Linked DNA regions of Kluyveromyces lactis. Each later gene encodes a partner of the first gene's protein in a complex. Links are inferred from orthologs where the notes say so. Each region holds a gene or a part of one and is shown in the gene's direction. Other genes may lie near its edges. The genes, in order: RPC10, RPA34 and RPB4.

The links.
Region 2: RPC10 (region 1) and RPA34 share a complex: the UniProt entries of both Saccharomyces cerevisiae proteins name them as parts of the RNA polymerase I (Pol I) complex. The link is inferred for Kluyveromyces lactis from reciprocal best matches to the Saccharomyces cerevisiae genes RPC10 and RPA34.
Region 3: RPC10 (region 1) and RPB4 share a complex: the UniProt entries of both Saccharomyces cerevisiae proteins name them as parts of the RNA polymerase II (Pol II) complex. The link is inferred for Kluyveromyces lactis from reciprocal best matches to the Saccharomyces cerevisiae genes RPC10 and RPB4.

The regions. Positions count from the first base shown.
Region 1 is NC_006040.1:683,564-685,759, forward strand, and holds RPC10 (DNA-directed RNA polymerase core subunit RPC10), read left to right. Parts: upstream 1-1,434; coding exon 1,435-1,647; downstream 1,648-2,196. Other genes in the region: BNI5 (Bni5p), read left to right, coding at 169-1,167. UniProt on the Saccharomyces cerevisiae protein: DNA-dependent RNA polymerases catalyze the transcription of DNA into RNA using the four ribonucleoside triphosphates as substrates.
Region 2 is NC_006037.1:552,844-555,400, reverse strand, and holds RPA34 (DNA-directed RNA polymerase I subunit RPA34), read left to right. Parts: upstream 1-1,413; coding exon 1,414-1,998; downstream 1,999-2,557. Other genes in the region: rRNA-processing protein LAS1, read left to right, coding at 1-121; transcription factor TFIIE subunit TFA2, read right to left, coding at 2,103-2,557. UniProt on the Saccharomyces cerevisiae protein: DNA-dependent RNA polymerases catalyze the transcription of DNA into RNA using the four ribonucleoside triphosphates as substrates. Component of RNA polymerase I (Pol I) which synthesizes ribosomal RNA precursors.
Region 3 is NC_006037.1:539,693-542,227, reverse strand, and holds RPB4 (DNA-directed RNA polymerase II subunit RPB4), read left to right. Parts: upstream 1-1,307; coding exon 1,308-1,910; downstream 1,911-2,535. Other genes in the region: serine/threonine protein kinase YAK1, read right to left, coding at 1-683; KLLA0_A05775g (glycosyltransferase family 15 protein), read right to left, coding at 1,960-2,535. UniProt on the Saccharomyces cerevisiae protein: DNA-dependent RNA polymerase catalyzes the transcription of DNA into RNA using the four ribonucleoside triphosphates as substrates. Component of RNA polymerase II which synthesizes mRNA precursors and many functional non-coding RNAs.

The DNA.
Region 1 (2,196 bases):
AAATTCAAAAACTAAACAATATAAACAAAGGAAAAAGGAAACTTCCAGTCACCAATACGTGTATGTGTTAATAAAAGGCGTTTGTACTAGTAGTTGACGAGTTGAAGCGTATCAGTGGCAGAATAAAAGTGTCACATTGTTGATAGTGGCGTCCTATTTTTTTCAATTATGGATTCAGAGCAGGTAAAGAAACGAATGTCTCAAATTGAGTTAGAGATAAGTGAGATGAACGAGATGATAGATAAGAACTTGAGCATTCATGAGACCACGGTTAAGACGAAACAGGATGTTTCTTCTGACGATCAAGATGAGGATTACTTAGAGTTGCAGAAGCTAACGGCGAACCAGGTTGATCAATTTGTGCAGAATGCTATTAAAAGCGATGGGGAGGACGAGGTACCGGAAACACTAAGTAGTGGCAGAGAGACGGCACTACAAGCGGAAGAGCGAGAAGACATAAAAGAGGAGAAACCAGGTACTCAATTAGAGGCAGCAGTAGTGGCAGAAGTGGTGGCAGAAGTACAAACTGAACCAACTGCTGAGAAAGCTATTCCCGCTGTTTCCGTAACCTCTGTTCCAGCGAAGAGAATACCTTCTGAGAAGATCGAAGTCTCCACCAGCACAGAAGAGGATGAAGCAGCAGCAGCAGCTACGATTGTACCTAACACTGATAAATCAAGTACATACCCTGCTCCTGCAGCAATCGGCCATACTCAGAACGGAACCGTCCCTCGTGCACCAAACACTGACTCAAGCAACATACCTACTTCACCACGTATACTCACGCCGAAGAGCAACCCGTTCCGCGTAGTACATGTTGGTAGCCAACCAAGCTCCCGTAACGCATCGAGAAACAGCTCTAGGGTCTCAAGCACTTCCTCAGATATTTCAGACATAAACTTTGAACAATTACAGCAAAATTACAACTCACTCTCGGTCAAATGTACCAAACTACAAAAAGAAATCGATTACCTCCACAAATTTAAAAACGAAAGTACCTTAACGCTCGAAGACAGACGCAAACTGATCACTGCCATCGAAAAATTGCAAGAATACCTCGACAAGAAAAACAAACAACGTTACGATACAGGTGTAATATTATCCCGTCAAATAAGGAAAAACGTAGATATGGGGGCCAATGGCCAATTTTGGGTAGGAAGGTCGTAACCTGGAAATCTCGTACTACATACATACATACGTTCATTCGTGTCTATATAAATGTGTGTGTATTTCTATGCATCCTTTAAGTATTACCCTACCGTGTATTTCCAAAAGAAATTCTTCTGACCTTAGTAAGAAATTTGAATTGACAAGCTCATCATAGGAATCAGAAGCTTTGACTGAAACATACTGTCTCGGATACGAGAGTTATCCTCCGATAGTCGAGTCAGTGAGTGCGTTTGTGGCCCCAATAGTTTAAGAGTAAGTGTCAAGATGTCCCGTGAAGGTTTCCAAATCCCAACGAATTTAGATGCTGCTGCTGCTGGTGCAGCTCAGAGCAGAACTGCCACTTTGAAATACATCTGCGCAGAGTGTTCAAGCAGACTTTCGCTTTCCAGAACTGATCCCGTCCGTTGCAAGAATTGCGGTCACCGTATCCTACTCAAGGCCAGAACCAAGAGAATGGTCCAGTTCGAAGCCAGGTAAACCTGTTCCCATTCCATCACATAAACTATATGCATATAAACTATATATGTATTACAGCATCTTTCCTGTATGTACATTAATAAACGTTGACATTTAAACGTTTCTCAATTGAAACACGACTACATGGGCATCGCTAGTCGACAGACGGATGTCCGAAGTCAGCTGGGGTTATACCGGCTAATCACACTGCGCAAAATTCCTTTTTCTTTATGTGATGGAAAATCTCTGAGAAAACTTTATGATTTTGGGCAGCTTCACCATCTAATTTTAAAATCAAAGAATAACGTCACCGTTAGATTTGCATATATCCACTTCCAAACTGAAAAGACGAAGTTTGACGGACGTTTTGTGGACCATTTGAGCTAAGGCTTGATAGGCAACTGTTTGGTGTGATTAGTGAAGAGAGAGTGGGTGCTTTGAACGGTGCCAATATCTGCTTTTGCGTGTATTATCTTGTTTGTTGATTTTGGTGTTTAATTGAACGTTTCTCTCCTCAAACACAACAAAGGATCAGTGCTTTTTTTTGATAGAATTGAAGTCTTTTGCGAG
Region 2 (2,557 bases), on another chromosome or scaffold:
TATATTGAAAGACTTGAATGAATTGAAAAATCAGTTCAAAAAGATCAAACAAAGCAATGCCCCCATCTCCAACTGGCAAGAAGTCACCGAGTGGACGCCTAGACCATTTGGCGTTTTGTAATTAGTATAATTAAGCCTTTTAGATACATAAGACAAAGCAAGAAAGATTGACAGTTCTACAGGTTCTGCGATGATAACAGGATTGAAAATGGAAATGGATAATAACATATAAAAAGATCAGACATCCTAGGAAGGTCTCAATAAAGAGCGGTCACTGAAGAGTACTAACGATGGGTTCGTAGGCGTACTCCTACCGTGGAAACTGCGAATGTAAAGGAACCAATTTTCATCATATAAAAAAATGTTAAAATCCATAACGCACAATCATGTTCTTAGCTAAAAAGAAGAAGTGAAACGTTTTGAAGAAATAAATGCAACAGAAGATACGACGATGGATCTTGTTTCACTGTTACTTTGACCTTAAGAAAACTAAAAAGAGAAAACTCAGATGATCTAAATTGTACATGTCAAAGCATGTACTGGCTTAAAAAGTCGTTGCCCCGTAAGACAACAACATGGTAGACTCCCATATCGTCATGGTCGATATCGGACTGGGAAAGAAGTGTAGACCGTTTTCATCATCGTTAAATGTTTTGAAGTTCTTTCGTAAGGTATGAAGTAATAATGAATCCCACGTATATGCAAACTTTTACGTTTATTTCTTCATGGAAAAGGTCTCTTTTCCAAGCGTAACATAGACGAATCAGTGTTTCACGGCTGTGAAACACTGCTCCATCAAGGATACTATAAAGCTCACTTGCCAACAGCAAGTGAGGCTAGAGAACAACCTACAGAACTTTTCAATACCTAACCTGGATAAATGGTTTGATGAGTTTAACATGTCTAGTTTGTTTCTCATTACCAGCCTTTTTATATTCTTCGTGTCGAAGAAGCATGGAAAAAATTTTTGGAATAATTGCGTCGTTCGACATGATAATACAGTAAACCAAGTACTTAGGGCATCGATGTCATACCATTCAACGGGAATCATAGTATTAGTGATCCAATAAATGTTGCTCGAAGGCTGTTCAAGTCGGACATACCATTTCTCGATGGTTTGTGATGAACTGGAACAGATTTCATGAATACGATAGTTTGTTCCACGTGTTAACCACGTGCATTTTCCCGGGTAACGTCTAAAAAGAAAGAAAAGTCTTTCCCAAGATGAAAAAATTCGGTTTAAGCTCATCTCATCTCATTGCAGATTCAAATAGACACACAGAGGCAGATAAGTGAGGTTCTGTGTGGTCCTAGGGTTCCAATTACAGTTTAACTAGTTCAGGTGAGTTTTTGTTACACCCTTCCCTGTAATATTATTCCACTCGCAAAACGTTATAAGAAATATCTCAAACAATGGCCAAGGTCGACAAAACTCTTTCAAAGGAATACATCAGTGATAGCGACAGCGATAATGATGGATCATCAGAAACTGTAACGGACGTTTTCGTTCCACCTGAAAACTATAAGAAATGTACACATTTGAAATCATTCGTGAAGCCTAAGAACTTGAAGCAAAAAGAACTTTGGCTTATCAAACTTCCTAAATCTTTAGATGTCTCTAAGCTTTCGAAATTACCTATTGATTTCACAGCGGAGTCGGAAACTGGCATCGAACAAAAAGGTAAACATTTCTCTGTGAAGGAGGAAATCCAACAAGAAAATTCCACTTCTGGTGCATCTTCTTCTTCTGAATTGACATTATTGACTCCTGTAGATAAGACAAAGTTGACCGTCGATTCATCTGCATCAAGATCATTTGATAAGATCTTTACCATAAGCGAAACTGCAAAGATTCCAAGCATTGATTATTCTAAGGTAAGAGTGGATAGAAAGGATGTGTTGAAGGTTAAGGGTCTCAAGACTAGACATTTCGCAACTGGGTATTACGAGGATAAAGATTTGAAGAAAGTTAGCAAAAAAAAGAGAAAGCACGACTAGAGCACTCGTTCTGGTCTTTCTGTATATTATTTATATATAACGCACTGGTCATATTTTAATTTGGGTTATATGTAGAATACGTTCATTATAAAAAGTAGGTATCTTCATACCCTATCGGAATAATCTCTCAATATACCAGCCATATGTGTATTGGTAACTTTACCCTTTCTTGATCTACGTTTCTTGACCTCTTTCCTTGTGGTTTGCTCATTCTTGATCGTAGCAGGATCCACACTAGCAGGCTTGAGACCCAAATCTTGTAGTTTTCTTGGTAATTCACTACGCTGAGGTAGCTTACAAGCTTCCCACATCGTAACGAACTCTTCATCGATTTGCCTTGATGGACCAGCATGGTTATACCAGACAAACCTTGGAGAATTATCCTTCTTTGTCCGAAGAACAAGGATTCTGTTCTTTGCTTCTAACTCGTCGATTGTATCAAAACATTGTGGCCAACCATCTTTTAACTCTTTACATGATATACCCTTGAACGTCGCCTGTGATCTTAATAGTTGTAGCAATTCCTCCGCAGAATGCACATCGTAAATGGATACGTACT
Region 3 (2,535 bases), on another chromosome or scaffold:
GGAGAAGGTGGCCTTGACGACGGAAGTGAACTTGAGCCGCCACGCGTGCTCATGTATGCACCTGCAGTAGCGGGATACACAGAAGAATTTATGGAGCCAGCCATATATCCCGCAGTATTAATTCCAGGTTTCCTAAGCTGAGATGGTTTCGTTACCTGCTGTGGCGAAAGTTGACTGCCACCAGTGACAGCAACCGACTGCCTTCTTTGTGCATCATTATAGTTGGGAAACGGTTGCTTCTCATAAAGGAACGGATCAGGCCCTGCCGCACGCGCAGGTGGTATTACTAAAGATGAGTTTCTCCTTCTGAACTGTTGTGAGGATTCATCTACAGCGTTATCTTCTTCGTAAGTAGTGGGCAAGGGGAAGTTGGATTGCTTCCTCATAGTAGACCTCTGAGACTCAGGTATCTGGGGAATCTCTTGCCATGGGTTTTTGAATATCGATTGACGTGGCGACTGCATTTGGAAACCACCAGCCGCATTTCCGCCTTGTTGCTGCCCTGCATATATATTCCCGCCTGCATTGGAGCTACTCCCAGCTGGCCCATCAGGCGCAATCTCTGGGCCCTGATTCTGGGTATTTGCCTGCGTCTGAGAAAAGTTCTGGTTCTGATTCGAACTCGACGCTCCCTGCTGAGAAGCCATGAACGCAGGGTTCCAAAGGCTATTCTTATCCCCCATTTATTATATATCAGATTATAGTCAACGTCTAACCACGTTATTGCAGCAAAATATTAGAAAAGCCTCTCTTCCAACAAAGAAATGACCAATTCACAACTCAAAGTTTCAACGGAAATACCTTTTAAACGTTATATCGACTGAATAACCCTGAGTTTCGCTTAAAGAACTTATAGCAAAACAGTAACAGAAACAAAACCAGCTAAAGAATGTACGCCTTCCTATATTAAAAAACAGCTAAATTCGAATCTGGCTATACCTAATCACGATGAGTACCAAGTACATACAGCGCTGCCCTAAAAATAAGCCCTGGTGTCCTGTACAAACAAACAGCTTTGCCAAGATTCACTTTAATACCTTAAATACAGAGAACATTCATGTCATGAAGTCATAGGGCCAATATTCTGATGTTGAGTTTTCGCATAATTACCGTTAGGAAAAAAAATGGAAATTCAATTACGATTAAAACGAGAGGTAAACTAACTTTGTCACTCGAAACATCAACTGGAGTTACATTTATCTAAGTTGTACCGTTGTCAAAGTGGCTGATTACTGGAATAGCACTTTTTGTGATTACACTCGTCTACTTTTTTGGACCGCTCTTATAGATAACAGCTCGAATTTACCATGAATACATCTACATCCACTGTTCAAACCAAGAGACGTGGGTTGAAGAAGTTTGTTGAAGAAGAGAATGCTGCCACTTTACACTTGGGAGAAGAGTTTAATTTGAAGCAAATCAACCATCAGGGGCAGGAGGAAAACCTAGTGGCTTTAAATTTGAGTGAGTCTCGTTTGATTATAAAGGAAACGCTACAGAACCGTCGGAAATTATTCAAGACATGGGCAAGCAATGGTGCATCAAATAAGGACGATGACATGGATGATGAAGATAACGTCAATGTGCATACCCAAACACAGGAGAAAGAGTTACAGGATATAGATAGATTGCTTGAACAGACCACTGGTGGACAGAATCAAGCGTTGAAGCAGACCATGATATACCTAACGAATTTTTCACGTTTCCGTGATCAGGAAACAGTAACCGCTGTATCACAGCTTTTATCATCCACAGGGTTGCATCCATTCGAAGTGGCGCAATTGGGTTCTCTATCGTGCGAAGATGCAGATGAAGCCAAGACTCTAATTCCAAGTTTAGGAACCAAGATATCTGACGAAGATCTAGAAAGAATCCTAAAGGAATTATCGAATTTGGAAACTTTATACTAAAACCTATGTACTATATCTTATATATATCCCCGGTTTCACCTCTGCTCCATCATCTAATAAATAGTTTGCCGGCACCGTTTTTCCACCATCTCATCAAGCAACTGTTTGGGTGGATGGGAATATTAGATTCGCCGTTAGGATCACACATACAACGGAGCACTAATCGTGCTGATATGGACGTGGGACATGTTTCAAATGGAACATGGCTGTATCCAATTTCATCAAAGTGGTGGATTTCATTCTTGTCTAGAAGTAATGAGGCACCTATACTGTGCACGGGTGCATCACCCCAACGTTCATAATAAAACCCACCCTTGGAGTCCAAGTAATTGAAATACTGAAGATACTCGTCACTTCTAAAGAAATTTAGATCTCCAATTTCGAAATTGGACCAGAAATGACATAGATTATAGTCTGTATTCGAATCAACAACAGGGAAAAAACGTCCCACCATCGTGGTATCCGTCAAAAAGCTTAGACTGTTGTTAGGATGTAGAATTTCTGGATAAGTATCCATGAATTCCTCAACAGCATCCCATAATGTCGTTACCGTATCCTCATATTCAAAGATAGATATCACAAATCCGTATTTCTTCTTCTTCTCCCGCATGACTTTGAATGGATC